Struthio camelus: one gene and its partners. The protein of the gene in region 3 interacts with the protein of the main gene of each other region in a biochemical or structural test. Links are inferred from orthologs where the notes say so. Each region holds a gene or a part of one and is shown on either strand. Other genes may lie near its edges. The genes, in order: claudin-4, CLDN7, TJP1 and KIRREL1.

The links.
Region 1: the proteins of TJP1 (region 3) and claudin-4 form a complex in vitro, tested with the Homo sapiens proteins (2 studies listed by BioGRID and IntAct, with this or other methods). The link is inferred for Struthio camelus from reciprocal best matches to the Homo sapiens genes TJP1 and CLDN4.
Region 2: the proteins of TJP1 (region 3) and CLDN7 form a complex in vitro, tested with the Homo sapiens proteins (2 studies listed by BioGRID and IntAct, with this or other methods). The link is inferred for Struthio camelus from reciprocal best matches to the Homo sapiens genes TJP1 and CLDN7.
Region 4: the proteins of TJP1 (region 3) and KIRREL1 form a complex in vitro, tested with the Homo sapiens proteins (3 studies listed by BioGRID and IntAct, with this or other methods). The link is inferred for Struthio camelus from reciprocal best matches to the Homo sapiens genes TJP1 and KIRREL1.

The regions. Positions count from the first base shown.
Region 1 is NC_090957.1:9,877,824-9,885,150, forward strand, and holds claudin-4, read left to right. Parts: upstream 1-4,316; 5' UTR 4,317-5,044; coding exon 5,045-5,674; 3' UTR 5,675-7,309; downstream 7,310-7,327. UniProt on the Homo sapiens protein: Can associate with other claudins to regulate tight junction structural and functional strand dynamics.
Region 2 is NW_027182697.1:13,100-20,108, forward strand, and holds the start of CLDN7 (claudin-7), read right to left. Parts: upstream 3,023-7,009; 5' UTR 2,819-3,022; intron 2,667-2,818; 5' UTR 2,602-2,666; coding exon 2,379-2,601; intron 1-2,378. UniProt on the Homo sapiens protein: Plays a major role in tight junction-specific obliteration of the intercellular space.
Region 3 is NC_090953.1:18,421,111-18,428,010, forward strand, and holds the start of TJP1 (tight junction protein ZO-1), read left to right. Parts: upstream 1-3,880; 5' UTR 3,881-3,886; coding exon 3,887-4,053; intron 4,054-6,900. UniProt on the Homo sapiens protein: TJP1, TJP2, and TJP3 are closely related scaffolding proteins that link tight junction (TJ) transmembrane proteins such as claudins, junctional adhesion molecules, and occludin to the actin cytoskeleton.
Region 4 is NC_090971.1:5,250,320-5,257,348, reverse strand, and holds the start of KIRREL1 (kin of IRRE-like protein 1), read right to left. Parts: upstream 3,014-7,029; 5' UTR 2,948-3,013; coding exon 2,896-2,947; intron 1-2,895. UniProt on the Homo sapiens protein: Required for proper function of the glomerular filtration barrier. It is involved in the maintenance of a stable podocyte architecture with interdigitating foot processes connected by specialized cell-cell junctions, known as the slit diaphragm.

The DNA of each region.
Region 1 (7,327 bases), on a different chromosome or scaffold from region 3:
CCCTGTCATAGGCAGACACGTGCTTTAGGTCCTCTTGCACCGAGATCCCTGCCCAGCATAGGGATCCTTGCAGACGTCCTTTGCCCTTGCACAAGGTCGGTGGCAGTCCAGCATGCCTTTTGTGCAGCACCTCCATGGGCTCTGAGCAGCGCAGGAGCAGCACCTCCATGGGCTCCTTCTACCTGACACAGATCCCCCCACAGAGGGTCTTACAGCCCAGCTATGGGGCCATATGGGGCTGGAGCATTTCCCCTTCTCCTGGTGAAGTGGTTCTCATTTGCGGAGTGCAGTTGTGCATTTTCTGAGCTGCGGGGATGGGGTGAGGGGCTGGTGGCTGAGACAGGAGCCTTGCCCTCTCAGACCTGGTGTGATGCTTTGCGTCGGTGCGTGGTGGAGCAGGGACTGGAGCTCCGCAAACTTTCTGCAAACTTTTTCTTTCCTGCAGATGCCTTGAATTCAGAGCAGTACACTCACCTCCCAGGTGGATGCTGGTGGAGGTGCAAAGCAGCGAAGGCCCAGGATGGGGTGAGCATCCCATTTTGGTGGGGAGGAGCTGCCAGTTGAACAGACAGTCCATTGCCCCATGCTAGCTGCTGGGGCAGGTTGGAAAGGTCCCACTAGGGTGAGCTGTGTCCCTTCTTCAGGTCTGGAGAGAGGTGGGCGTCTTCTTTCAATCTCTTTGTAGTTCAGGGTCTGGAAAACTCTGGTTGCTTTGCATAATGTATCTTTATGCACGGGTATGGGCAAGACCCTTTGGGTGCTCTTGAAGAGCTGCCCTTGCTGGGGTGGTGCAGGTTGGTGCTCTGCATGGCAGTGGTGTGCTGTGGCATGGACTGGGGCCTGTGCTGAGCCAGCAGCTCACCAGCAGAGCCGGGGTGAGCCAGAGGGGAGGAGAGCACTCCAGGTGCTGTGGTCCCTGGGTAAGTGCTGGGATCAGGGCTGCACATGTACTCCTGGACGGAGCGCTGCTCGAAGCCAGATCTTAGTTAGATGCACCTTGGCATCCCTGTTGTGGGCAGCTGGGACCGGGCTGTGTTGCTGTGGTGTGGCGTCCACGCAGTGATTGCCTCATAGAGCGTGTGCTAAGCTATTCAGAGGTGCCTAGGTCTCGCTTGTGCTTCACTAACATCCTCTGGCCAGGGCTTGATGTTCATCAAGGATGGGATGCTGCTGCGAGAGTCAGCTGCTGCTCTTCTGCTCCCTGTCCAGCCGCTCGGCTTGCATCTGCACATCCTAATGGCTGTGCTTGCTCCAAGCACCTCCGTAGCGGTGCCGGGGGCTGGCCCACAGCACTGATCCAGCTGCAGGAAAACCCAGACTGAGTCTGTTCCCTGGTGCAGGTTTCTGGCTAGCTGAACAGCACTTGTGTTTGCTCGGTGAATGAGCTGCTGGGGAATGTGGGGAAGGGCATGAGGGGTGTTTCTTGGTGGCAGACACCAATTTAAACATGTCACGTTCTGGCCTTAATTACAGGAATCAGTTGTCAGTGAGCCTTTCTGGCGCCTGCTTTGGCTCTCCAGGCTCCATGGGTGAGCGTGAACTGCCCGGCTCAGGCGTTTGAAGTTCTGCATGTGGAGGAGTCCCTCTCCCCACCTTGCCATCTATCCCCAGCCCGGAGGCATGTCTCCATGTGCCTAGGGAGTTGCAGCCCACAGGAGGCAGCCAGAGTTTTCGTATGTAGATGTGTGCACGCGTGTGTGCATTCCTGTCTCCAACCCCAAATAACTCAGTGGTTAGAGCAGCAGTCTGGGAGGCAAGAGCAACATTCAGCCTCAGGCAGAGTTAAGTCCCGATGTCGCGTCCCTTGAAAAGTGCCCCAGCCAGAGGATGCTCTGGAGTGGGGCGGATCAGTCCTTGCTGCTCCCCTGCAGATTAAAGGGAACCTGACCACTGGGCTCCACTCTCTTTGGCTCAAGGGACAAGCTGGTGTTCCAACAATGTGGGTGCTCCAGCAGTGGAGATGGACTGAGGAGCATCTCAGGGTAAACAGAGTCTGGGTGGGGACCAAATCTGTCCTCCACGCAGGCAGCACAGGGATCTGGGCTGGTCTTCTATGTCCTTCCCCGCTCAGCTCCCCCTGCTCTGAGCTGTGCATGCACGTGGCAGAGCTGGGAAGACACCGGCTTGTTCCTCGTGAGGGTTCCTGGGCCATGACCTGGAGCTAGACCCAGGTGCCCTCATCCCTGGGCACCCACGAGCTGCCTCTCCCTTGCACTCGTCTCCTGCCTGTTGGCTCCTGCCTCAGCCAGATGTGAAGAGCCTGAGCCCAGGTGCTGGCTGGGATCCTTGCAGCACCGACTCACTGCAGCCTGTGCTGGTGCACGGCTGCAGTAGCTGTACTGCCATCCTTGGTGAGTGCAGTACCGGTGTGATCAGCCTCATGGGCATGGACATGGCTCATTCTGCTGCCTAGGATGAGAGCCTCAAAGTTTGGCTGTTCCTACCCCATCATCCTTGGTACCCACGGACAGGGGCAGCTCTGCCCACAAACCTTTGTCAAGGTTGTTTCCTTCTACTGAAGGTCTTCTCTGCTTGCACATACATCACTTGGTGTGGATGGCCAGAGACATCCAAGGCACACTACAGTCAGAGTTGGCTCAAGAGATTGTTGTGCTGAACAATTAGCCCAAGTAATTATGTCCTGTCAGTAATCTTCCATCCCACTTCCTCAGCAGGAGTTCAGCCTGGTGAGTGACACTCCAGGGAGCAGCCCGGACCAGCCTTCCCCCACAGCCAAACTCGGCACCTGGGAGGGCTGGGCTCCCCACACCCCCAGTTCACAAACCCGACTCAGTTGTGGTGCTCACCTGCAACCCACAACTCAGTCTGGCCCCACAAAAGGTTTCCTAATAACTTATCTACCCGGCACTTGAGTGTTCAGAAAAACTAAAACAGTCTCAGGCCATGTTATCTATCCCAAAGTCTCACAATTAAGCTGGAGTGGTAACTGTGCATGTCTGTCTGTCTGTCCATCCTTGAGGTCTGTCTGGCCTCATCCTGCGCCAGCGGTGGAGACACTTCAGAGGCCACCCTAGGGAGCAGGAGATGCAAAGAGGAGGTGTGTGGGCTCATAGATTAAAGAAGGAGAGGTCTGGCAGAGCCTCAAAGCTCCCAAACAGCATCTGCAGAGCTTAGGCCAGTGGGTATGGCCAGCTGTGCCATGCGTGCCGAAATGCCGAACGACACTGTCAGCACCATGTGGCCACAGCATCCCTGCTGCCCTGAGGGCACTGAGCACCTGGCTCCTGCTCATGCTAGCAAGCTCAGGGCGCTTCACAGCACCACGATGCCTCGATGCTGGTGCTGAAAGATTCCTGCGATGCTGGTGGTGTCACCTACACCTTGTGTAGAGACGTTTGCTGGCTCTCTCTTCTAGGCCAGGTATTGGGTGTGCTGAACCCTTTCCCTGTTTTGTGAACCAGATCTCTTGGGTCAGGACCAGGAGATAAGGGAAGACCACAGTAGTTGCCTCATTTTGCGCCTGTTACCTTTTGGGAAGCAGAAACTCTGGTGCACACGAACGGTTCACCTGGGAACACGCTGCGTGTGTGCCTTGGGAGCCTGCATGTCCTGAGCAGCAACAGGAAAACCAGGAAGCAAAATGCTTGGCTGCAAGGCGGCTGTGCAAGTGGTTGGGAAGCAGCTGCTTAACATCCCGGCTGCTTGCTTTCCCTATGCATGTTTCTGTTGTTTCCCAGGCCTGAACCGCCCTAAGCCAGATTACGTTGCCCTTGCTCTGCTCCCACCGCTGGGAGTGACTCTGCTGCTCGCCTTGGGGTCCCCGTAGGGTTCCCCACTTGTCTTCCACCTGCCTGCCTGCCCCACACTCCTCACGCTCCTGCAAAGTGAGGCCAAGCCATATGCTGGGCCTGTGTTGCAATAAGTCCTTCCCTGGGCAGCTCTTTCCTCCCGCAAGCTATGAGCGGAGCTGATGGACTCTTCCTGCCCAGCTTCAGTTTTGGGTTGTTGCCCTTTGCAGCCCACGTGGCTCAAGGCCAGACCCCCGTGCCTGCCCCGTGCAGCCCCGATGAGCCCCCCCATCACTGCACCCCATCCCCAGCTGGCTGGCTGGGAGTGTGGGGAACAGGGTGGTGGGACGCCCGCAGCTGGCTATGTTGGGAAAGAGGGCTGTCATGTGAACTCAGGCTTCACAGAGAAGCGAAAGGTGGGGTGGTTTGTGGGGTCTGCCGCCTCCCCTCGCCCCAGGCAGCGCCATCTCTCCTCCCCAGCAAGCCTGCAGCAGCTCCAACCGGTTTGTGGGTCTCCGTGGCGGGTGGCGACACCTCCTGCCTGAGGCCTAATTGAGGGATGAGAAGCGATTGTCAGACGCCAAGGAACAAACAAGAGCCGCTTGTGCCCTGGGAGGGAATGGAGCCGAGCAGGATGGGCTGAGAGCTTCTGTGGCACGCCGGTGGGGAGAGACGTGCTGCTTCCCTCTGCATGGGAGGAGCTCAGTACCCCGGCGGGGACACATCGCCACTGGGTCGGTGGTGAGCAGCCGGCCTGCATAGGACTGCAGCAGGAACAGCCGCCCCATGAGCTGGGGGGAATCTGAGGCACAAAAGTCTGAGGTGACTCCATCCAGGTCTTGAAGCTGGAGGCACCTGGGAGGACAGCAGAAAATCCTGATCCCTGGACGCCTGCTCTTTCTCTTCAGCATCCCACGACCCCAGGGCTTTTCAAGCTGAGCCTCAGAGTCTGCTCCTGTCCCATCTGGGCACCTGCCTGCGTGCCAAACGGCAGGCAGAAGGAAGCATTCCTGCTGGGCTCTCCCCATGCCAGGCTAGCCTGATCCCAGTCCCCTGCATCCTTCTTTGGGAGCAGCAGGAATATTAAGTGTCATTGCTGTGGGCAGAAATATGAGTGGAGGAATCTCGGGAAACTGGTTTTACCCCTTCGTCCTGTGCCGACTGGATGGAGCAAGGGGACTGGAGCTCCTCCCTCGGCGAAGGCATATAATGCCTCCAATGGTCCCGGGAGCCAGCACTGCATTGCGGGAGCCAGGCACGCGTGTCGGTGCGGGCCGAGCGTCGGGCAGTGAGCAATGGCTTCCATGGGGCTGCAGGTGCTGGGCATTGCCCTCTCCGTCATCGGCTGGCTGGGCACCATCCTGTGCTGCGCGCTGCCCATGTGGCGGGTGACGGCCTTCATCGGCAACAACATCGTGGTGGCCCAGATCATCTGGGAAGGGCTGTGGATGAACTGCGTGGTGCAGAGCACGGGGCAGATGCAGTGCAGGGTGTACGACTCCATGCTGGCGCTGCCCCAGGACCTGCAGGCTGCTCGCGCCCTTGTGGTCATCGCCATCGTGCTGGCCGTGCTGGGCACCGTGCTTGCCATTGCTGGAGGGAAGTGCACCAACTGCGTGGAGGACGACACTGCCAAGGCCAAGGTCATGATCATCTCTGGTATCATCTTCATCATTGCCGGCATCATGATACTCATCCCCATCTCCTGGTCGGCCAACACCATCATCCGGGACTTCTACAACCCACTGGTCACAGAGTCCCAGAAGCGGGACCTAGGGTCCTCCCTGTATGTCGGCTGGGCGGCCTCTGCCCTGCTCCTCACTGGCGGGGGGATCCTCTGCTGCACCTGCCCCCGGCGGAGTGAGAAACCCTACTCTGCCAAGTACACGGCGTCTCGCTCAGTGCCAGCCAGCAACTACGTGTAGGAACTGCTCCGTGCACCGCAGGGCTGCTCCCCCCGCAGCCTGGTGGCTTGGCACATAACCCAGACGCCTCTCTCCTGTGCAGACCGCCACCGCGACCAGGCTCCTGCTGCCCTGCTTGAGCTGCAGCACCCGCTGAGCTCAGCTCACCGCTCTGCACCTGCCGTAGGGATGTACCCACTCGGGGCTCCCCACAGCTCCCATGCTGCAGGGCAGCTTGCGGACTGGCATTGCTCCCCGCAGCCAGGCCACCGGGGTGGCTGCCTGCCTGTCCCCAGGGAGCCAGGGCCAGCAACAGCTGTGGGGCTATGTGGTCCCCAGTGCTAAGCATCTAGCACTGCTTCTCGTTTTGCTGGAGCAGAGAAAAACCTTCAAGGTCCTGCGGCAAGCCCAGCCTGGCCTGCTGACCCTCCTTGCCGGTGGGTTCGAGGCTGCCCTGGGCCTGTGCATGCACTGCTTGTGCAGCATCCAGGGACGCAGCGCTCGCGGGACGGGGAGGAAAGGGTGCTGAGGCAGCACGGAGAGGCAGGCGTGCGAGGGAGAGCAGACAGACCTGCCTTTGTTCGCCTGGTGATTGAAGCTGGATCTTTAATCTCAGCCGAGACAGAGAACAGAGAAGTCCTGTCCTGGCTGCCCTCCCCCTGCAACCTGCTGGACGTGGGGCCCCCGCTTCCCGGGCTGGCAGCCCCCGTCTCTGCTGCCGGCACACGCTGCCCCGGGCACAGCTGGTGTCTCCAGGAGGGGAAACCCAGCTGCGTCCCTGTGAGAGCACCATCTTTGGAAACACCCCAGGGCTCTGACTGCTGGTATCGAGGTGCGCCGTGCTGTGTCACGGCTCTGAGTGCCCCCAGGTGCCTGTCCCCGTGGGTGGCACGGGGCTCCATCCCCATCGCCTCTCTGCGTCCCCTGGCTGGTTTGCCCAAGCCCTGCTGCAGAAGCCACTACGCTGGGTAAACCAACTTGCAACACCTCGAGCGTGTGTCCGTCGGAGCAGGTGGTGGGGCTGGCGGGGACCGGGCAGGGGCGCGAGCAGTGATGACAAACCTTTCCCGTGTGGCTCAGCCTCACATTGCCCCAGGGCACATGGTGGCTTGGGAAACCCTGGCATGGTCTGCAGGGGGGCTGGGAGCTCTCATCCCATTCTGCCCTGAGTTTTTACTTTGACCTACTTTTGGGGCTTCTATTTGTGTCGCTGTACATATTTATTATTCCTCTCGGCAGCTCTCCGGGGCGGGGGTATCATTATCCTGGGAGTGGGACCACAGCGGCTAAGCTGGGAGAACCGGTTGGGGTGGCAGGAGCAGAGCTGAGCAGGTGAGCAGGGGCTGCACACAGGTGTTTCTGTTGGTGGCCCTAGCGTGGAGGAGACCAGCTCCTGAGACCTGACCCTGCGGCATGGGGCACATAGAGCCCCATGGCCCGCCTCGCCGCCAGCAGAGTTGCTGATAGGCACCCCAGGCTGGATGCAACTTTCCAAGAAGCCAGCAGGTGTGCGGGGTGCCCAGGCCAGCCCTTTCCTGGCTACCGGGCATGAATCCAGGCAGGATAGGGTGACTCGTGTTGCCGTCTGTGCCTGCCAGCCGTGGTGCCATCTGCCCGCTGTGGCACAGACATCCCACATTAAATGGTAGCTGCTCAGACCCCACTGTGCTTCGT
Region 2 (7,009 bases), on a different chromosome or scaffold from region 3:
CCGGACGCCTGGGCCCCCGATGGGTGTCGGGGTTGTGGGGCACCCCCGGACACCTGGGTCCCCCCGGACGCCTAGGTCCCCCCGGACGCCTGGGCCATGGGGCACCCCCGGACGCCTGGGTCCCCCGGGATGCCTGGGCCCTCGGGCACCCCCAGACAGCTGGGTCCCCGATGGGTGTCAGGGTTGTGGGGCACCCCCGGACACCTGGGTCCCCCTGGATGCCTGGGCCATGGGGCACCCCCGGACGCCTGGGTCCCCTGGGATGCCTGGGCCCTCGGGCAGCCCTGAACGCCTGGGCCCCCTGATGGGTGTTGGGGTTGTGGGGCACCCCCGGACGCCTGGGTCCCGTGATGGGTGTCAGAGCCGTGGGACATCCCCGGACGCCTGGGCCCCCCCCCCAACCCAGGGCTCTGGCGCCACCCCGGCTCCTGGACGCGCCCCACGGCCTCGCCCCGGGCGGGGGGGACTTTGGCCCCAGCCCCACGGCGGGGACCCACCCCAACGGCTGCTCCCCGCTGACTCACGGGCTCCCCCCTCCCGGACAACGCCGCCGAGTTTCAGCGAAACCAAAGGCAGGGCCTGGCCCTCCCGGACGCCTGGGCCCCCGGGGGCGGCCGGGACGGGAGGACACCCGATCCAGGTGCGCCTTCCGGCACCAGGAAACGGCTCAGGGGGATTTTCGGCTGCCTCCGGCGGCCCGGACGCCTGGGCTCCTTCCTCCAACTCCGCTCCGCTGCCCGCCGGCTGGGAGGGGACCCAGGCGTCCGGGCACCCCGTGGGGACCCAGGCGTCCGGGGGAGGAGGGGGGGGCCCTGCTTCCCCCCCCGGGGACCCCGGCGTCCAGGCAACCCTGATCGGCGCCGCCGCTTCCCTCCCAGCGGGCCCAGGAGTCCGGGTGCCCTTGTGACCCCTGTGGTTTGGCTCCCGCTGCCAACTCCGATAAGGCGATAGCGGGTCGGTCTCCAGCCACCAGCCGGGGCCGGCGAGGGCCCAGGCGTCCGGGCTGCCTCCTGCCACCGACCCAGAGTCCCCCCTCCCCATGCGCCCTTCCAGAGGGCCCAGGTGTCCGGGGGAAGTCCCCCCTCCCCCCAACCGGCCCGGCCGGTCGCTCAGGTCTGCCCGGCCCCACCCGGGGCTGGCAGAGCCCAGACAAAGCCAAAACCTCCGGTTCCTGCCCCAAACCCTGGTTCCTGCCCTAAATCCCCCGGTTCCTGCCCCGAAACCCCCAGTTCCCTCTGCCAAACCCTCTGGTTCCTGCCCCAAACTCGGGTTCCTGACCGAAATCCTCCGGTTCTTCCTCAAAACCCTCCAGTTCCTGCCCCGAAACCTCCAGTTCCTGCCCCGAAACCCCCGGTTCCTGCCCCGAAACCCCCGGTTCCCTGTGCCAAACCCTCTGGTTCCTGCCCCAAACTCTGGTTCCTGCCCTAAATCCTCTGGTTTCTGCCCCAAACCCTCCAGTTCCTGCCCCGAAACCTCCAGTTCCCTGTGCCAAACCCTCTGGTTCCTGCACTAAATCCTGGTTCCTGCCCCAAACCCTCCAGTTCTTCCCCAAAACCTTCTGGTTTCTGCCCCAAACCCCCCAGCTCCTGCCCCAAACCCTCCGGTTCTTGCCCCAAACCCCCCAGCTCCTGCCCCAAACCCTCCGGTTCTTGCCCCAAACCCCCCAACTCCTGCCCCAAACCCTCCGGTTTTTGCCCCAAACCTCCAGTTCCTGCCCCCAAACCTCCAGTTCCTGCCCCAAACCCTCCAGTTCCTGCCCCCAAACCTCCAGTTCCTGCCCCCAAACCTCCAGTTCCTGCCCCAAAACCCCCCAGCTCCTGCCCCAAACCCTCCGGTTCCTGCCCCAAACCCTCCGGTTCTTGCCCCAAACCACCTGACTCTTGCCCCAAACCCCCCAGCTCCTGGCCCAAACCCTCTAGTTCTTGCCCCAAACCCTCCAGTTCCTGCCCCCAAACCTCCAGTTCTTGCCCCAAAACCTCCAGTTCTTGCCCCAAACCCTCTGGTTCCTGCCCCAAACCCCCCAGCTCCTGCCCCAAACCCCCCGGTTCCTGCCCCAAAACCTCCGGTTCCTGCCCCAAACCCCCCAGCTCCTGCCCCAAACCCTCCAGTTCTTGCCCCAAACCCCCTGACTCTTGCCCCAAACCCCCCAGCTCCTGCCCCAAACCCTCTAGTTCTTGCCCCAAACCCTCCAGTTCCTGCCTCAAAACCTCCAGTTCCTGCCCCGAAACCCCTGGCTCCTGCCCCAAACCCTCCGGTTCTTGCCCCAAACCCCCCGACTCCTGCCCCAAACCCTCCGGTTCTTGCCCCAAACCCCCCGACTCCTGCCCCAAACCCTCCGGTTCTTGCCCCAAACCGCCCGGCTCCTGCGCCCAGCTCACCGGAGAGGCTGAGCAGCGAGTCGTAGACCTTGCACTGGATCTGCCCCGTGCTCTGGGAGACGCACGACATCCAGAGCCCCTTGTACATGGCCACCGCCGTGATGATGCTGTCGCCGGCGTAGGACGACATCTGCCACTGGGGCAGCGCGGTGGCCACCACCAGGGCCAGCCAGCCGGTCACCGCCAGCCCGAAGCCCAGCAGCTGCAGCCCGGCGTTGGCCATGGCCCCGCCGGCGAGGCCGGGGCGGCCGCGGGGGGACCCTGCGCCGAGGCGGGCGGCCGCGAGCCCTGCGGGGACGAGAGGGCTGAGCAAACGCCGCCGCCGGGGGCTTCCCCAGCCCCTACGCGAGCGGTGGGAGCCCGGACGGACGGACAGGGAGGCCCCATCCAGGCTGCAAGAGGAGGAGGAGGGAGGACGAGGGGGAAAAAAATCAACAAACCTGGCCCGCGGGAGACCTTGGCCGAGCGGAGCCGGCCGAGCGCGGCGGCGACGGCGCTGGGACACCGAGGGGACGAGGGCGAAGACGCCCGCGGGGAGGGGGCTCGGCGGCGGCGGCGGCGGTGGCCCCGAGCGAGCGCGAGGCGGCCGAGCGCGGCAGGAGCGGCCGGGCAGGTGCGCGCACCTGTATATAGGGGCCGGGCTGCGCCTGACGTCAGCGGGGCGGCGCCGGGGGGGCCAAGGAGGTGCGGGAGTGGGGGGGGTCTCCCGGCCCCGGGACCCCCGCGGTGCTGCTGGCACCCAGCTGCAGCCTGGACCGCGTCCTGGGTCCCCCTGGATGAGCTGTACCCCGTGCTGTGTCCCGGTACCCCTGGACGAGCTGTACCCTGTACCGCGTCCCGGTACCCCTGGGACGAGCTGTACCCTGTACCGCATCCCGGTACCCCTGGAGGAGCCTCATCCTGTGCCACATCTCAGTACCCCTGGACGAGCTGTACCCTGTACCGCATCCCAGTACCCCTGGAGGAGCCTCATCCTGTGCCACATCTCAGTACCCCTGGACGAGCTGTACCCTGTACTGCGTCCCAGTACCCCTGGACGAGCTGTACCCTGTACCGCATCCCGGTACCCCTGGGACGAGCTGTACCTTGTACCGCATCCCGGTACCCCTGGAGGAGCCTCATCCTGTGCCACATCTCAGTACCCCTGGCCGAGCTGTACCCTGTACCGCATCCCAGTACCCCTGGAGGAGCCTCATCCTGTGCCACATCTCAGTACCCCTGGCCGAGCTGTACCCCTGTACCACGTCCCAGGACCCCTGGATGAGCTGTACCCCCTACCACGTCCCGGTACCCCTGGACAAGCCGTACCCTGTACCACGTCCCGGGACCCCTGGCCGAGCTGTGCACCTGTCCTGGCACCGAGCTGTACCTCGTACCCCATCCCGGTACCCCCCACCAAGCTGTACCCCGTCCCCTGTCCCCTCCCAGGCTCCAGCTGTTCCCCCTGCACGTGCCCCTTCGCTCCCCGGCCGGGGCCGGGCGCAGGCGAGGCCGAAGGAGGCCCCGGACTGGGTCGGGCCGGCAGCTCCGGTGTTTTATTTACGGCGTTTTGGTTTGTTTTTCGCTTTATTCTCCCCCCTCCTCGTTGTCAGGGCGGGTTTTTCGGGCGGATTCGCGGCGCCGCCGTCCCGCAGCCGCCCCCTGCGCAGGGGCCTCTGGGCAGCCGCCGCGGCCGGTTCTGCTTGGGGAAGATGCTCGGTCGGCTCTGCCCGACCCGGTTCGGCTCGGCTCGGCCCGGTCCAGCTCTGCCTGGCCTGGCCCGGCCCGGCCCGGCCCGGCTCAGCTCTGGCCCGGTTTGGCCCGGCTCAGCTCAGCTCTGGCCCGGTTTGGCCTGGCCCGGCTCTGCCCGGTTCGGCTCGGTTCAGCCCGGCCCGGCTCTCCCTGGCTCGGTTCGGTTGGGCTCTGGCCCAGTTCGGTTCGGCCCGCCCGGCTCGGTTCAGCCCGGCCCGGCTCAGCTTGGTCCGGCTCTGGCCCGGTCCGGCTCGGTCCGGCTCGGTTCAGCCCGGCCCGGCTCTTCCCGGCTCGGTTCGGTTCGGTTCGGCTCTGGCCCGGTTCGGCCCGGCGCCTCCAACGGCGCTTCGCAACGCAACGCGCGGCGGGACGGACGGCAACAGCGCAGGGTCAAACCCGACCGAGCGCCGCCTCCCGAGGCATGCCGGGAGCTGTAGTCCTCCGGCACCGAGCTTCCGGGCGGCCATTTTCCGTCCGCAGGGCATGCCGGGAGATGTAGTCCTCCGGCACCGAGCTTCCGGGCGGCCATTTTCCGTCCGCAGGGCATGCCGGGAGATGTAGTCCTCCGGCACCGAGCTTCCGGGCGGCCATTTTCCGTCCGCAGGGCATGCCGGGAGATGTAGTCCTCCGGCACCGAGCTTCCGGGCGGCCATTTTCCGTCCGCAGGGCATGCCGGGAGCTGTAGTCTTCCATCCCCGCCGGTGCCATGGGGAGGGATGTCCCCCCCTCCACCACCCCGGACTCCTGGGTCCTTGGTGTAACCGGTGGGGGGGGGGAGGAGGGGTTGTTGGGGGAACCCCAGAGCTGCCCCCTCCATGGGGGGACACAACATGGCAACACCCGTGTGGGACCCCCCCCCCCCATTAAGCGACTCCCCCCCTACAAGGTGGACGAACAAGATGGCTGCCTTGGAGCAGCCCTTTAAGAGGAAACACATTTTTTTTGTGTACAAATATTCCGTCGGGCGGCCCAAACCAGCCCCCTGGGGCATCCCTTTAAGCTTCAATTTTTTTTCATCTACAGACAAATATTCTGGAGAGGCATTACAAGATGACTGACGCAATCATCCCTTTAAGAACAGCTTATTGGGGAGATAAAATGGCGGGCGTGGGGGGGGGGACACACCTGCCCCTTTAAACATAGAGCTAGATATCAACATCGAGCCTATAAAATAACAGTCAACCGTCCCTTTAAGAAGCGCCATTGATGCCCAGTGGAGGGGTCATGGGTCATCCAACATGGCCACCCACCCCTTTAAGAGCCTTGGGCCCCTCTGCGCTGCCCGGGGCTGCAGGGAGAGCCTGTCCCTTTAAGAAGCTCCTGCCCTCGCCCCTGCCCCTTTAAGTCTCCTTTTTTGTTTTCGCCTGCAGACAAATATTGAGCCACCACCTCCATTGCCATCCCTTTAAGACTGTTTTTTTTTTTTTTTCTGTCTAAAGACAACTATTGGCCCTGCGGGCTTGTCCTCACCCCTTTAAGAGCCTTTTTTTTTTTTTTGTCGGCAGACAAATGCTCCCATTGGGCCATGGGTCCCGCCCACCCCTTTAAGAGTGTTTTGCTTCCCCGGACAAAAAACAGTGCCCACTCCCCCGCCCTCCAATTCTGCCCCTTTAAAAGGGGGAAAATCCCTTTAAGGGGGGAATTTTTGACTGCCAGACGTTTTTTTTTTCCCTTGGGGGAGGGGCTGGAGGCCCCCATGTCCCATCATGCCCCTGAGCCCAGGACCTCCTTCCCATGATGCTCCTGGTGGGAGGCAAAGGGCGGGCCTGGGCCGACCCGGCTCCCATCATGCCCTGGAGTCAGCAGCCGCAGCAGTCCAGAAGTCAGCCAGTGTCCCATGATGCACCAGGCTCGTTGGCTGAAGTCCCACAATGCCCCGGGGCATGCGCTGGGGCACCGCTCTGGGCACAGGGCTCTATGGTCGCAGGGGATCCGGGAAGGAGAAGACCATAGAGCAGGGCGCCATGGCGGTGCAGAATGGCTCTCTGGAGGGGTTGCTCTAGCTGCAGCTCGGCAGTCTCTATGCTCACGGAGGGGGGACCGCCAAGCAGGGCTCCATGGTAGTGCAGAGCGGCTCCGGGGAAGGGGCCCCTCTAGCTCCACCTCTGTGGTCTGGAAGACTCCAAGCCCTTGGTGCTGGAGAAGTGCTCTATGACCATAGAAAACGGCTGCACACAGGCACAGAGTGGCTCTATGGAGGTCACCCTGGGGACAGGTCTCTATGGTCTGGAGGACTCCAAACCCTGGCAGCTCTAGCTGGCCCCTGTGACCAAAGAGAGAAGAGATGAGCAAGGCCTCATGAAGGTACAGAGTGGCTCTGAGGGCTGCTCTAGCCCTATCTCTATGGTTTAGAGGACTCCATGGGGGCTGGAAGCACCAGGGTGCCGCAAGCAAACCATAGACAAACAGGGTGTCTAGAGTGGCACCAGCCTCTCAGGCCCACCATTGTCTGGCTCTATAGCCAGGAGGACCAATCCCCCCATGAGAAGGCGTGGTCTGTACCAGGCATATTAATGAGATGCAAATATACCCGGGCCAGGGTAGGGGGAGTCCTGAAGTGGCTGGGATTGGCTCAGTCAGGTGGGGGGGAGGAGCCTGGCTGGAGTAGGTGGGGCCTGTGAGGGGTGGGTGTGGTCTGGTGGGAGTGGGCGGGGATTGCACAAAACAGGTGGGGCCCAGGTGGAGTGGGTGGAGCCAGACAGGAGTGGGCAGGGCTTTCATGGGAATGGGTGTGGCCTGGAGATGAGGGCGTGGCCTGGCAGAAGGGGTGTGTGGCCCATGTGGTGTCCTGAGCTGAGGGAGGGGCCTGGTTCACATGGGCGTGGCCAGGTATGGGCATGGCCTCGAAGAGTGGGTGGAGCTACAGAGGAGCTGGTGGGGTCTGGAAGGACCAGACTGGG
Region 3 (6,900 bases):
ACCTGAGCAAATAAAATTAAGAAATGAATAGGGCTCTGCTTGTTTTTGTACTGAAAAAACTCCTATGAATCAACTATATTAACCTGAAGTAATCTAATAGGAATTAAATTGTTTCTAAAACGCATGCTATGTCTGAAAAAAATGTAAGCTGCTTTCAGCTTTATGACCTGTAGTGAAGGAGAGTGTATCTTGCCAGACAGAACGAGTCTGTACAGAGAACAGTAAATATGCTCAGAGCATCTCCACTGCAGGGATAGCTACCGTATAAATTCTGGCCATAGCTCAGCTACGGGGCCGCACAAGCCTCGGAGGTAACAGTGGGATGTTTGGATACTTACCCTAATCGGGAAGCTGCTGATTGACTGCTGTTAAAAATAGGCAGTTCATCTGAAAGACAAGAAAAACAGGATCTTTTTACTCTTTCAGCTATATAGAAGATCTGTGCTTAAAACAGGATGCCCTGAAAGGAGGCATATAATGGAGCAGCACTAAGACAGAGCAGGTATGACAGAAACAGAAGAGGAATTAAAATTAGAGGATAACATGTCTTCATGAATATCTGGTTTTGTCTCTACAATATGCATCAAGGAGTATGATGATGATACATAAAACTGACAAAACCAATTAATAAGTTAGTCTCAGATTAACAGAGTATGATCAATGAAAATGATAAGAGTTAAATCTGAAATAACTAATTATTTTGCAAATGTAAATAGAATTAGGAATTCCAATTTAAGTAAGAATGGGAATCAAATTATAGGCTCTTGAAGAAGGCGAGTAAAGACTGGAATATGCAGCCAGACTCCAACATAGAGTCTTCGTGCAAATTTTTGCCTGTGCATTTCTTAACTCCTTTGTACACAGATGCTGAAAAGAAATGCATGTTTCAACTCTGATACTGTAAAAATTGAAAAAGCCATGTTTTGGGCTCAGAGTCCCTTCATCAGGTAAGGAACTCCAAAAGCTTACCCGCTTCTTCCTGTTATATTAGCTTTCAAAGAAACTTTGCTTCCCTTGTATCCTTAGACCGCCTTATCTACAAAATTTCTAACACTATAACTCTATGAAAGTCTTACCATACGACTGCATTTTTCTTTCAATAATTTCTATATCAAATATGAAACAAGATTAATATATGTTTTTCTAACTGCTAGGTATCACATTCAAACTGAAATGTGAAATTCAAACAGTTTCAGTTATAATGCAGCTAACATTCTGCTATTGATGCCAAGAATAAAATCCAGCCCACACTCATTCTCCCACTACTTATGTGGGCACCATATATTTCTTCAGTCAGCTAATGACTGTGGATACACAGAAGAAGAAAGCAACATGTCAGTTTTACAGTTCTTCTTTCTAGTCACATTTTAAGGCAAAACAAATCTCTAAAGGTTTTCAGATTCATTTGATGATCTGTCTACAGAAGATATAGACTGTCCATTCAATATACCTCAAGCTTTAGCTACATTTAACCTTCCTAATGATTTCAAGTTGACTGACCCTCATTGTTTTTAATGCTCAATCTCTCAAAAGACAACCTGCAAAGAGTATCTTGAGAGCTAAAAATGAGCAAGCTTGTGTTGGGACATTGAGTTGGCATTTGAATTTTTAAATCATCTGTGACACAGAATTTCAGGACATTTCTATATATCTCCAGTTTCTTGACTGAAAAAACAGAACCGTCCAAGTCATTAACCATAGTAATACAATTACTATGATATGTTTCTAATTAGAATCTTTTGTGCTTACGAGTAACATATTGATCTTCTCTGTCTCCTGCTTAACAGACAGGTCTTTGGAGAATGTAGTCTACTACAGTCTTAGGTACATATTACCTATAAAAAAGGAAGAAAAATAATGAAATTCTAATCTTTGAGCCTTAAAGTGACAATGCTGTTCACAGTATTTTTCCTAGTTAACAGTGCCAGCTTAATTCATCCACTCTGAGTATTGCAATTCATACAATTTACATGATAGCATCTTCATGAAAACTTGTCACTTCTGTAAGGATTTGTTTATACCTGCATTCTGCAAAACGCATACATGCTGAAACAGTACTGGGGCTGCCAAAATGCCCCAGCCGGTATCAAAAGAGCTTAAACATCCCCTAGTCTTTGATAACCTTGGGAGGAGGCAACAGAACTTTAGGCACTGAAACTTTTGACACTCAACTGCCATTTCTCACCAGAAGCATCAGAACAACTTCTATAGCACAACTCGAAAAAAGTTTTACCTGTTTTAGCAGGTTTACCATGTTATTTTAGATGTTTTGTATGTGGGTTAAGCATAATTTGAAACTTTCTGTTCGAGTACGAATTCACCATGCTGCCTTTACCCAAAGTATTTCCCACTACTATTGATCAATGTGTCAGCTAAGTGCTATCCTTCACTTCAGTGATGTTTGTACTGTAGCGGATTTCTTTGATCTTATTGTAGTATGGTTTAGAGTGAATCCTGAATGCACTTGTCAAAAACCATGACCACCTATGGCTCTTAATACTGGACTTTAGGAGAAAGGCGCGAAACAGATTAATGCTGTAACGATAATTCAGTGTCGCACCTACGGCCACTACACACTTATGTTTTCAGCTATTTTTGTCACAGTAGCCAGGAGGCAGGCACCCACCTAGAAAACATTTAATATTTTTAGTTTGATTTAATCACCATCTGATTTCCAAACACACGTTAGTTGTTTTTCTCATGTGAAAGAAGAGGGAATGATGTTTATGTCGTCTTGCCAGTAGACTCACTAGGCTTTGCACGTGCGACTTCACAACCCAGTCACTTAGGGGAGGTGCGGAGGAGGGTGCCGCAGTGGGGAGCTGCTCTCCAGCCACCTCACACCCGGAGTCTTTTCTGAAGGTGGCTTGGCTGGTGGCACGGCTCCCGCTGCAGCGCTGGCCTGCTGGCCCATCCTGGCTGCCTCCACACCTCACCTCCTGCTCAGACCCTTGCTCCCCTCACGCTCATCCTCACCTCACCTCGCCTTCAGATTGCCTCATCGTCACCTCGCCTCACCTTCGGGCTACCTCAGCCTCACCTCACCTTCTTCCTCACCTCGCCTTCCTCCTCTCCTCAGCTCGCCTCTGTTCTCGTCGTCTCATCTCACCTTCGTCCTCACCTCACTCTCACCTTCCCTTCATCTCCACACTCACCTCAACTTCCTCCTCCCCTCACCTTAACCTGGCCTTCACCCCACCTCGCCTCGCCTCGCCTCGCCTCGCCTCGCCTCCGCGCCCGCCCCGCCGCTCACCTCGCCTCGCGCCGGGGCTCAGCGGGGCCCTCGCCGCCCCCGGGGCCGCCCCCGGTGCGGGGGCGCTCGCCTCCGCAGCCCGGCACAGCTGACCCAGGGGCGGCCGCGCCAGCGGCGGGCGCGGCGTGAAGACTGCGATAAAGCGGGGCTATTCTAGGCGCTAATGGGATGAGCGGCGCGGCGGGCTGCGGCATGGCGCCGCTCTGATGGCGGGCGGGAGGGCCGGGCCGGGCCGCGCGGCCGCAGGTAACGGGCGCGGCGGGCCCGCTCGTGCGGGGGGAGGGGCGGGCCGGGCCGGGCTGCGGGAGGCGGCGCAGGTGAGGGGCGACGGGCCGGGGCCGGGGCGAGGAGCGGGAGCGGGAGGCGGCGCGGGGGGAGGGCTGGGCGCGGGAGCGAGGCGGGAGGAGGAGGAGAGCGTCAGGCGGAGCAGGGATGGAGGGAGCGCGGCGGGGGGCGGAGGAGGAGAGCGTCAGCTGGGGGCAGAGATAGAGGGAGTGCGGCAGGAGGAGGAGGAGAGGAGCGTGAGCTGGGGGGGCAGAGGCAGAGGGAGCGCGGCAGGAGGAGGAGGAGGAGGAGGGGAAGAAGCGCGACGCAGGGACGGCAGATGCCTGGAAATAAAAATTTGATGATTGCATGCAGCGGCTGGAGAGACTCTGTCGGTGGCGGCGGCGGGGACGAGGCAGGGACAGGGGGGGCGACGGCAAAATGAAGTATCAGAAATACCTGACTGTCTTGCAGATGGCCATAGGGGTGACCGCCTCCAACCGGGGCAGTCTGATGCCCTTAAAGAGGAAGCTGTGGTGAGTAGGCACGGCAGGGGCCGGCGGCACTGCGGGCCGGGGCGGCGGGCGGCGGCGGCGGCCGCGGGGCTTTTTCCTGACAGGAATAACGGCTGCGCGGGCAGCGGCGCGCTGGAAATCCGGCCCGGCGCCGCGGCAGAGCGGGCCTCGGGCGCCCGGCCGCATCTCCCCGGCGGAAAGTTGGTGGCGGATCCAGCGATGGGGCTGGGGCGGCGGCGGCGGGGGCGAGACGCTGCCCGGGCGCCCGCCATCGCGGGCTGCAGCGCGGCCGGCGGCGCGGCGCTCCCGCCCGCCCGGCCCTCCTGGCGGCTGCCAGGCCCCTCGAGGAAGGCGCGTTGTCAGGCGCTTGCCGGAGCGCGGCGGCGGCCCCGGTGTTCCCGCTGAGCGCGGTGCCTCCCCCGCGCTGCCCGGCGGCTGCCGCCCGGCAGGTGCGCTTGAGGCGGCGCGCCACGGACAACACGCTTTCGCCGCCTTCCCGCTGGTTTTGTGCTTGCTGGTGGGGGGCGCTGAACTGGCGCCCGGCGGTGGAGGGCCGGCTGTGGCAGCCCCCCCGGCAGCGGCGGGACGCGCGTCCGCGGCAGCGCTGACAGCGGGGGGGAAATGTGGGAACTGGCCGCGTCTTCTGGAGGGGGAAGCAGCGAGAGCGTTTCTACACGGGGTGGTGGTGGTGGTGGTGGTGGTGGTGGTGGTCCTGCGGTTCCCTGTCGCTGCCCTTGTGCGTCCGCGTAGGGAGCGGGGTGTCAGCGAAGGGGCGAGAGCCCTGCTGCTTAGACGGGGTCACTCACGAGTGGAAGGATGTCCGTGGCAGCGACGGCAGCACATGCGGATCTTCCATGCGCTGCCCGATTGGGGTTTTTTTTCATGTTATCAGCCGGCGTAGACAATGTCAAGGAAATACAATTGAAGAAACAATGTGGAACTAATAAGCTGCCTGATATTCATTCCAAACCTTGATGTATTACTTGCAGAAAATAAAACGACTGGACATATCCTATTCATATTAACTGTAACATACAAAATCAAATCTAGTCCTAAACAAAAATATGCTGTCATGCAGATAACTTCTATTACCTTTAATCGAATCAAAGGATTTTAGACTGTACTCAGTGCTTTGATTTTGATTATGTAAGTTACATAAAGTGCTACTACCCTACCTCTCTTATTCTCCTAAAGTGACATTCCTGTCAGTGCGCAGCAGTGTGCGTGTTGATATATTATTTCTTTTAATATTTGAATTGTGTAACACAGTGCTAGCTCTTGTGCCATATCGTATTTCCTCTGTCTTCTTGGAAATGTCGTCTTTGCTGACAAATTAAAGTGAAACTATCGATATTTGCGCACTTTAAAAAGTAAGTCTGGAAGGACCTGATACAACTCCCACTTGATGCCTTCAGTTGGAATGTAATCAGCTCTGTATTGCCTAGTTTCATGGTGAGATTCTGTGCTTTTTGAGGGATATCAAAACACTGTAATGGATCCCAAATAATACATGCTATAAGCACTGAATGTCTTAACATTTGTAGCTTGTCTTCGTGTTATTACAATGCTGTGCTGTATACAGATTTAAATGACTTAAGTGTTAGGGATAAATAAGATAAATTTTTTTTGCAGTAGAGATCTATATGAATTACTTAAGCATTTGAGAGTGTGTCTATGGGATATTTTTATTAATAGGTGACATGATATTATGTAGTCACATTTTCTTAGGGAACTTGGATAGCATTATCTGCATAGGTAGAATTTATGCTTGTGGATGAAATAGTATTTTTTTCTGATGCATTTAGAGAAATGCGTAAGGATAATTTGTCATGGCTTTTTTTTATTTGCTTTTAGTCTGTATGTATACTGTTCTTAATGCACACATTAAAGAAAAGCAAATAATAGGGAGGTGAGTATATTTTTATGACTAAAATCAAGGCAACATAGTGTATATTGCCAGCCCGGAAAGCAAAGATTTGTTCCAATGCCATATCACTGGGAACCTCCAAAATACATAAAGAAAATACATAAATCAAGTCAGCTTGCAATCAGAGGATGCTAAGACTTTATTTTTATTTATTTAAAAAAAAAAAAGAATGATGGCCATTCAGATTCGTAAGTTGCTTGATGTGTTAGTACATATTGTAAGTGGAAGCAAAACATATAATTTAATAAAAAAGGTTTAAAATACTTTTTGTTGGTGGAGATAATCCACCTGAATCCTACTGAATGAAAATGAAAAAGGTAGCAGCGATGGTCTATTTCTTTATAGAGCATCTGCCACTCTAATTTCCTCTGACTTGCCCTCCAAAATGTGAGTCCTGTTCTCTGATTTACCAAAGCACAGCTACAAATCAAAACAAAAAAGATGGACCCTGATTGGTATAAACTAGCTGGGAATAAAACGAACAGAAAATTGGACAAAAAAGGAAGGAAGCTGTGCCCTGGGCTTGCAGCTGGAAGTGCTGGAGCCAGAAACTTAACTGTGTTTAATGTGGAGTTTGATCATTTTATGAAGAGGTTTACCTGGTGTAGTAGAGTTCTGCGCTCGGTGATCAGGGAAGTTGCTGGAGTCCCGATTTGCTGATTCAGACCCTGTTCGGTGTCTATGTTGTAATCTAATATGTAGAAACCAGAAATGAGATGAGTAGGATGTTTTTAATCTTACTGCAGAGTTTAACAAGTCAGTAAGCTGTCTTCAGGGCACGAGTCGCCTTCCAGATCAGGGCAGAGACAACATGAGAAGCTTGCACTATTTCTGTCTATTTTGTACCTGTTTTCTGCACAGACAATTTTCTTTTCTGAGGTTGTCCAATAACGTTTCTTAGCAGCACTGCCTTTATTTTCTCTACAATAGAGTGTTACCTG
Region 4 (7,029 bases), on a different chromosome or scaffold from region 3:
TGCAGTCTCTGGTGGTGCTTGCAATCCCTCCTCTTCCTTGCTGCCAGCTTGGGGCAGCGGAACCGCGCAGGAGGCCCGGGAACCCCCCGGCTCCCTTGGCGCTGACTGACAAGGCTCCTGCCCGCGGCCCCTCGGCCTTCTCCATCCCTCCTTGTCCCATTGATAGGGGGCTGGGTGACAAAACTCTTCAGCATCAGGAACCTGGGGCCAGAGCCTTCCTCTACCACCTTCCTCCCCCTCTGCCACGCTCCAGCACAGCAACGTCTCGCAGGGGCTTTTATTGCCCTGCAGCAGGCAACGGTCATCTTGCAAATCCCATTGTACCAGCACAGCTCTGGTGGCAGGGCCACCGAGGCAGGCGGCCCATGTAGTCTCTGCCGAAATACCTGGGAACAGCAGGGTGCATCCACCCTCCCTGCATGGGGGCTCAGGATCTGCTCATGCTCGCTACGCACGTGGCTCATGCCCTGCACCCGTCCGTCCGCCCATGCTGGTGGAGGAAGGCACCTGGAAAAGCCACCAGCACTGGACAGAGGGACCGGCCCAATCCTGGCTCCTGCTACCACAGAGCTGGGCAGAGGACCCAGGAATCCTGGTGCTGGCTATGCCCCGCTTGGGCATGACGGGTGACGAATGCACAGCGCCCCCCGACCCCTCGCAAACACGGCAAGAAAAGTGACCGGGCTGATGCCTTTAAAGGGAGCACCCAGGCTCATCCCAGAGCATGCAGCGAGCACGCAGGGTCTCAGCGCAGTGGGGGGGGGGAGAGGGCGCCAAAGGCAGCGTTCACACAGCCGACGGGGCGAGTGGCCCGCCAGCACGCACTGCCTTTCCATGGGAAACGCCAGCACCAAAGCCCCTCTTCCTGCCACCCCATGTCCCCCCAGGGCCTGGCTGCTGCTGCATCCTGCTCCCATCGGCCGCAATCTCTGCTGTTTCAGTGTTGCTGCTCTTCCTTGAGAGGGAAGAGGGAAGAGAGGGAAAAAAAAAAAAAAAACACAGAGAGGAAGAGAAAAAGAATCACCCAGAAAATGAATAAATATTTCAATTTGAGGAGCAATCACAGCGAGTGATTGAAATGGGGGGAAGAATAATGGGTTTCATTTAGATAAGATACAGAAAATTATTTAGTGAGAAATGAAGAGTGATGAAACCCATTCAACATCTTTGTGCGAGCGTGTGCCAGTGTGCAACGGCATGAATGGCCCTGATCGCCTCCCCCACCGCGACACGCCGGCATGCACACGCACGCATGCACATGTGTGCACATGCATGCACATGCAGTGCAGCATGCTCATTTCTACACATCCCCTTTGCAAAGTGGGTTGGCGGGGGGGGGGGGGGAGCCCTATATTTTGCCAGCAGCAGATGGCAGAACCCCCCTCCCACCCTGGACACCCCTGTCTTTAGAGAAAGGCAGCACAATCGCTCCTCTCTGATGACAGAGAAACTTAGCAGCCTCGGCAGGGAGCGCCGCGGCCAGGCACTGTGACGGGGCCGCTCGCCCGGGGAAGTCATCCCTCCTCCCTCACGCAGGAATGCATCCACTGCTCTGGGGCGAGCGCAGAGCTCCCTCCAGGCAGCCTGTTTACCCCAGGCCCAGCCAACCGGCTTTTTTAAATTTTTCTCCCCCCCTCTCCTCCAAGAGTTATTAAATGAGGGGAAAAAAAATAAAAAAAGAGAGAGGAGGCAGGCAATGCCAGAGCTCTGCCCTCCTCACCAACGAGCTCCACATGGCACGGTACAGGAGAGCGAGCGCTTTTGTTCCTAGGAGGGCAGCGAAGCCCCATGGTGCCTCCCCGAGCTTGGCGCGGGGGAGCCTGGGATCTGCTCGCCTGGCCCCGGCCCTCTAAGAGGCTTTGCATGCTCCTTTTAAACCCCAGTTCGACTCTTTTTTTTTTTCCCCCTGGCATCTTAGCAACACCGCCCCCTTAATTAAAAATTAGATTGGATTTTGCAGCAGGGAAGGACCTGGAGGCTACGGAGGGGCTGGCTCAGCACAGGGTGATGCCCCCTGCTCGCTCCTTGCCCTGGCTGTGGCACGGGAGCTCGCCCCTGGGTACCTGCAGACCCACGGCAGGGGGCTGCCAGTCCCGGGCCCCGCTGCCTTCCTGCCGCACGGAACGGACGACCTGGCCGGAGACACTGCAAGTTCATTGCACGTGTGGTGCCTTTCCCTGCTCCCCTTGCCGCGCAGACCCCGGGGGACCTCACGTCCGAGCTGCCAGCTGGGGCGGCTCCGGGGTCGTCCTCAATCCACCCCTCCTGCTCCGCGCACCCTCGAGTGAGCAACTCCCCGTGCCTCAGTTTCTCCCTCCTCACCACGGCCCTGTGAGGGGACAGAGGGGGGCGCGGGGCGGGTTGGGCTGCTCCCCCCGCGACAGGGTTCAGTGCCCAGGGCCCGGCGGGGGAGGGGGGTCAACGCGGGGCTCCCCCTCGGGGGCGCAGGCGTCCCCCAGGAGTTTTTCCTTTGCAGACGGACGGACAGACGGACGGGCCGGGTCCTCGCCGGCCCCGGCGCCCCGCTGCTCGGCGCAGGGTGCTGCTGGGCCCCCTCGCCCCGTTCCAGCCCCCTGCCCGCCCCCCGACGGGCCCCCCGCTCCCCCTGCCCGGGGCTGCGGCAGCCTCGAGCCGGGACCGACCCAGACCGGGGGGGGGGGGGGGAGGGAACCAGGACCCGAAGCGGCGCGACAGGACTCAGCACAGCGCTCCGTCGAGCACCGAGCCCGGGGGGGGTCGCCGAGAACCGAGCTCGGGCTCCCCCCGCACGACCGAACCCGGGCGCCCCCAGGACGGGGCCGGAGCGGAGCCGGCGCCGGGCCGAGCCGGACCCGTGCCCCCAAGTTGGGAGGCGCCGGCGGGCGGGCGGGTGCCGGTGCCGCGGCCGGTTCCTACCTTGGCCGCGGGTGCTGGCGAGAGTCAGGAGGCAGAGGAGGAGGATCCACATGCTCCCGTCGTGGCCGGGCTGCGGGCACGGGGCGCCGGGGGGGGCCGCTGCCCCGCGCCGCCCTGCTCGCCCCCGCCGCGCTGCCCCGCGCCCCGGCGCCGCCGCTACACCATGGTCCGGCCGGGCGGGGCGGGCGACGCGACGCCACGGGGACGGGCCCGGGCCGCGGGCTCCGCTCGCTCCGCGCCCAGCCGCGCCGCCGAGTGCGCGCGGCCGCCGGGGGGGCGGGCAGGGCGGGGCGGGGGGCGGCGGCGCCGGCCGGGCCGCGCAACTCGCGAAGTTGGGGAGGAGGGGGCGGTGTGGATGCGTGTGCGTTAGTGTTTGTGCGTGGTGAAAGGGGTGCATATGTGCGTGTCGATGTGTGTTTATGCATGTTGGTCTGTGCATGTGTGTGTTTGTGCATGCTCGTGCATATGTATAAGTGCACGCTAATATGTATTTGTGCATGGCGAGGGGTGCACACGTTGGTGTGTGCGTATGTGCATCTCCGTGTGTGTTAGTGCATGTTGGTTCGTGCATAAGGGCATGCTAATATGTGTTTGTGCATGGCTAGGGTTGCATGTTCATGTTTGTGCATGTTGGTGAGTGTTTGTGCACACTGAGGGGTGCATGTGTACATGTTGGTGTGTGTTTGTGCATGTTAGCGTGTGTTTGTGCGTGCTGGTGTCCATTTGTGCGTGTACGTATGTGTGCATGTTAGCGTGTGTTCGTGCCTGTTGGTGTGTGCATGTTAGTGTTTGGTGCAGGGTGGGGGTGTGCACACGTGTTGGTGTGCATGCATGTTGGTCTGTGTCAGTGTGTGTGCGTGGGGGGATGTGTCCATGTGTGTTAGCATGTGTGTGCATATTGGTGTATATATGTGGTTGGTGTATATATGTGTGTGTGCGTGTGTGTGTGTGCATGCTGGCATGCGAGTGTGTGTGCATGCATGTTGAGGTGCTTGTTGGTGTGTGTGTTTGTGTGCACAGGTTTTTGGGTGTATGGTGCTGTTTGGGTGTATGTGGGTGTGTGCCAGCATGATGGGGGAATTTGCATGTGTGCATGTTGGCAGGGGCGCATGATGGGGGTTTTTGTGCCTCTGTGTGTGTTTGTGTGTGTGTGTGTGTGTGTGTGTGTGTATGCATGTGCATGCATGCTGGGCTGCATATGTGTGTGTGAGCGCATGTCTGTGTGCATCCATACTCATGCATGCTGGGGAGTGTGTGTGTGTGTGTGTGTGTGCGCGCTTATGTCAAAGTGCTTGCGTGGGAGGTTGCATGCAGGGGTGTGTTTTCATGTGTGTTGGGATGTGTATAGCTTTGTGTGTACACTAGCCTCTGTGCACGTTGTGGGTGTCGGGGGGGGGTATGGTATGCATTTACACATTTGTGCGTGAGCGTGCGGGTGTATGCTGGGCCGCCCCATGTGTGGGGCCGTGGGTATTTGGGTGTAGGGAGGGTGTTCGGGTGCCTGCAGACGTGCTGGGGGTTGTGTGCCAGCTGCCTGAACAGGGACAGGTCGTCAGTGCGGGACACTAACGGAGGATCCCAGTGCGGTGAAGAGCCGGGCAGAGCTGGCCTGGAGCCCCCAGCTGCTGGATGATGCCCCAGGATGGAGCGGAGCCAGGACCGCTTGCCACACCGCCGCTCTTCCAGGCAGTTTCTCCTTTCTGCAACACATATATACTTTTATCTTTTCCTCTTTCTATTTCTCTTTTGAAAAGTTTATAAGCTCTAACTAAAGGCCCTGGATATTAGTGGCTTGAAAAATCCTCTTGCCTACAGGCTCCTGGGAAGGGAAGCTTTCCAAGTGGAGTGGAGTGGGCTAAGCCCTTGGTAGAGGCAGAAGCTTCAGCTTTCATGGTTTTTTTTTTTTGTTGGGTTTTTTTTTTAATAGAATTTCTAGCCCTGAGGGTTTTAGAGAAAACATTGCAAATGGGAACCAGCACTCGGCTGCCTGCCTGAGTCAGCAGGCAGCTCCCATACTTTGGCGGCTACTCCGAGCTTTGCCAAGGGTGTAGGAGCGCGGGAGTGACCAGCCTGGGGTGATTCGGGGAAGGACTTAAAGCCACTGAGCTGCCGCTTGGGCTATCGGAAAGGCTAATCTCTTGGCCATAGCACGGGTTTCTTGGGTAAGCTGTGCCGAGTGACTTGGGCCCCAGCTCAGTTTCTCTGCTGAGCTGGCCGCGGCACCGAGCAAGCACCTCAGAGTGCCGCGGGTGCCGGCGATCCGCAGCTCGCCAGCTGCCCTTGCCGCTTCCTCTGGCGTTGCAGCGGGGAGGCGAGGGCCTTCGCCGCCGCCTCCTCTTCCTCTCGACCTTTGCAAGGGGCTTTTTGGCTGCAGCTCCTCTCTGAGCATCAGCAGCACCAGGGCCATTCCCCAGGACGGTTTCACCCCAGCAGCAGCGGGGCGTTTCGGGGGCGCCGAGGGCAGAGGCCCCGCTGTGAGGCTCTGGCCCCCGCGGGCTGCAGCCAGGCTCCGGTGCTCCGGTTTCAGTGGCTTTGTGCTGCCCTCTGCTGAAATCGGCTTGGCTCTGCCGCTCGCACCCGCCGAGGTAGCCGCTGCAGAGCCCAAACCTGCCTCTGCCACTGGTCCCGCTCACCCTCCTCATCCTCCCGCACCCTTTTGCCCTCCGGGTGCTGCTGGTGGGCCAGGAGGTAGAGCCCAGCTGGGCCATGGGACGTCGGGGCCACCCGTCCCCGCCGGCTTCGGAGACGGCCAGAACCAACGGCAGTGATAAAAGGAGCTGGAAATAAAGGATATTTTATTAAAAGTCATAACCCCTGGCCCTGTGGTGCTAGTCCCTGCCGCCCTGAGGAATGTGTGGAGGAGAGGAGATTGCCGCCGCCGCTGGAGGCGAGATAAAGGTGCAGGAGGCGTCAAGCCCGAAGGGAGGGAAGAGGTCAGGGAGGAGCGGCAGCCAAGGGGAATTTGCTGATGGGGAGGAGAGAAGAAGCACAAATGCAGCAGCCAGGGGGGTGGAGGGGCGGCGAAGAAAATTCCCTGTGGCCGAGCCTTCGAGAGCAGCGATGGATACTGAGCGCAGCAGGGAATGAGGGGGGGAGAACCCAACCTCATGCAAACGGGCAAAAAGCAACCCAGGTCATGCGGGAACCCCCCCTCCCAGCTCCAGGAAACCTGCTCACAGCTGCCACAGAACATCAGGGAGGAAGCGAGGGCCGAAATTGCTGCCAGGTGGCAGGGCAAGACCTGCTCTGTACCTCGCAGAGGCAGCGTCCAACCAAGGGCCCATCAACCCTGGCGTGAGGGCGGCATGAGTAAACCCTGCGGTGCAGCCAGCCCTGGGGCAACGTGACCCCCCCGGTGGCTGGGCTCAGGTGCTGTTCCTCCGGGCCGAGCCCACCACCGTGGTGTCTCGCCGGCACTGCCAGGGCCCATCCAGCTGTGGCACGAATGGTTCCTGGGGCACAGGGCAGCACCCGGCATCCACTCTCCCGCCGGAGCCCACTGCTCTCTGCGCGCCGAGCCGGAGCTGGCATCAGCAATTTGTTTTCTCCCACTCGCCGAGCGCCGGCGGCAGAACAGGAACTCCCGTGGTGCGCGGCGGTCCATGAAAGCCCATCTGTGCCAATAATAATAACAATCATAATGATATTTATACAGAGCCTAATGTCTCCGAGCAGCTTCCAGAACCCATTTAGAGGCAGCCGCTCGCCTTTGCTCATTACGAGAGGTGCGCTGGAGCGGAATGGCTAACGAACCCGCTCGTTAGCTGGCCCTGGTTGGGGCCCATGGGCTCACTGGTGCCTGGGGCGTTGGGGCCCCAGAGTCCTCACGCCAGTGGAGACCCCTTTGCCACCCTGAGGAGCCCAGCTGCAATGGAGTGAGGGGAACGGGTTGCGCTTTCTGCTCCTCCATGTGGAATGGCGGGGAGCGGAAAAATAATTTGCGAGCTTATGAAAAGCACCTCGACAGGGAAAAGCAGGTGAATTTCCTTCCTTAAATAACCGGGCAGGCCAGAGAATTCCACCCTGGCGTTTCTGACCCACGTTAGGTCTCTTCATTTTTTTTTTTTTTCCAAGCAATTATGAGGAAGCCTCTGTGCCCGCCTTCACGCGCTCCTGCTGGAGTGACCTCTATTA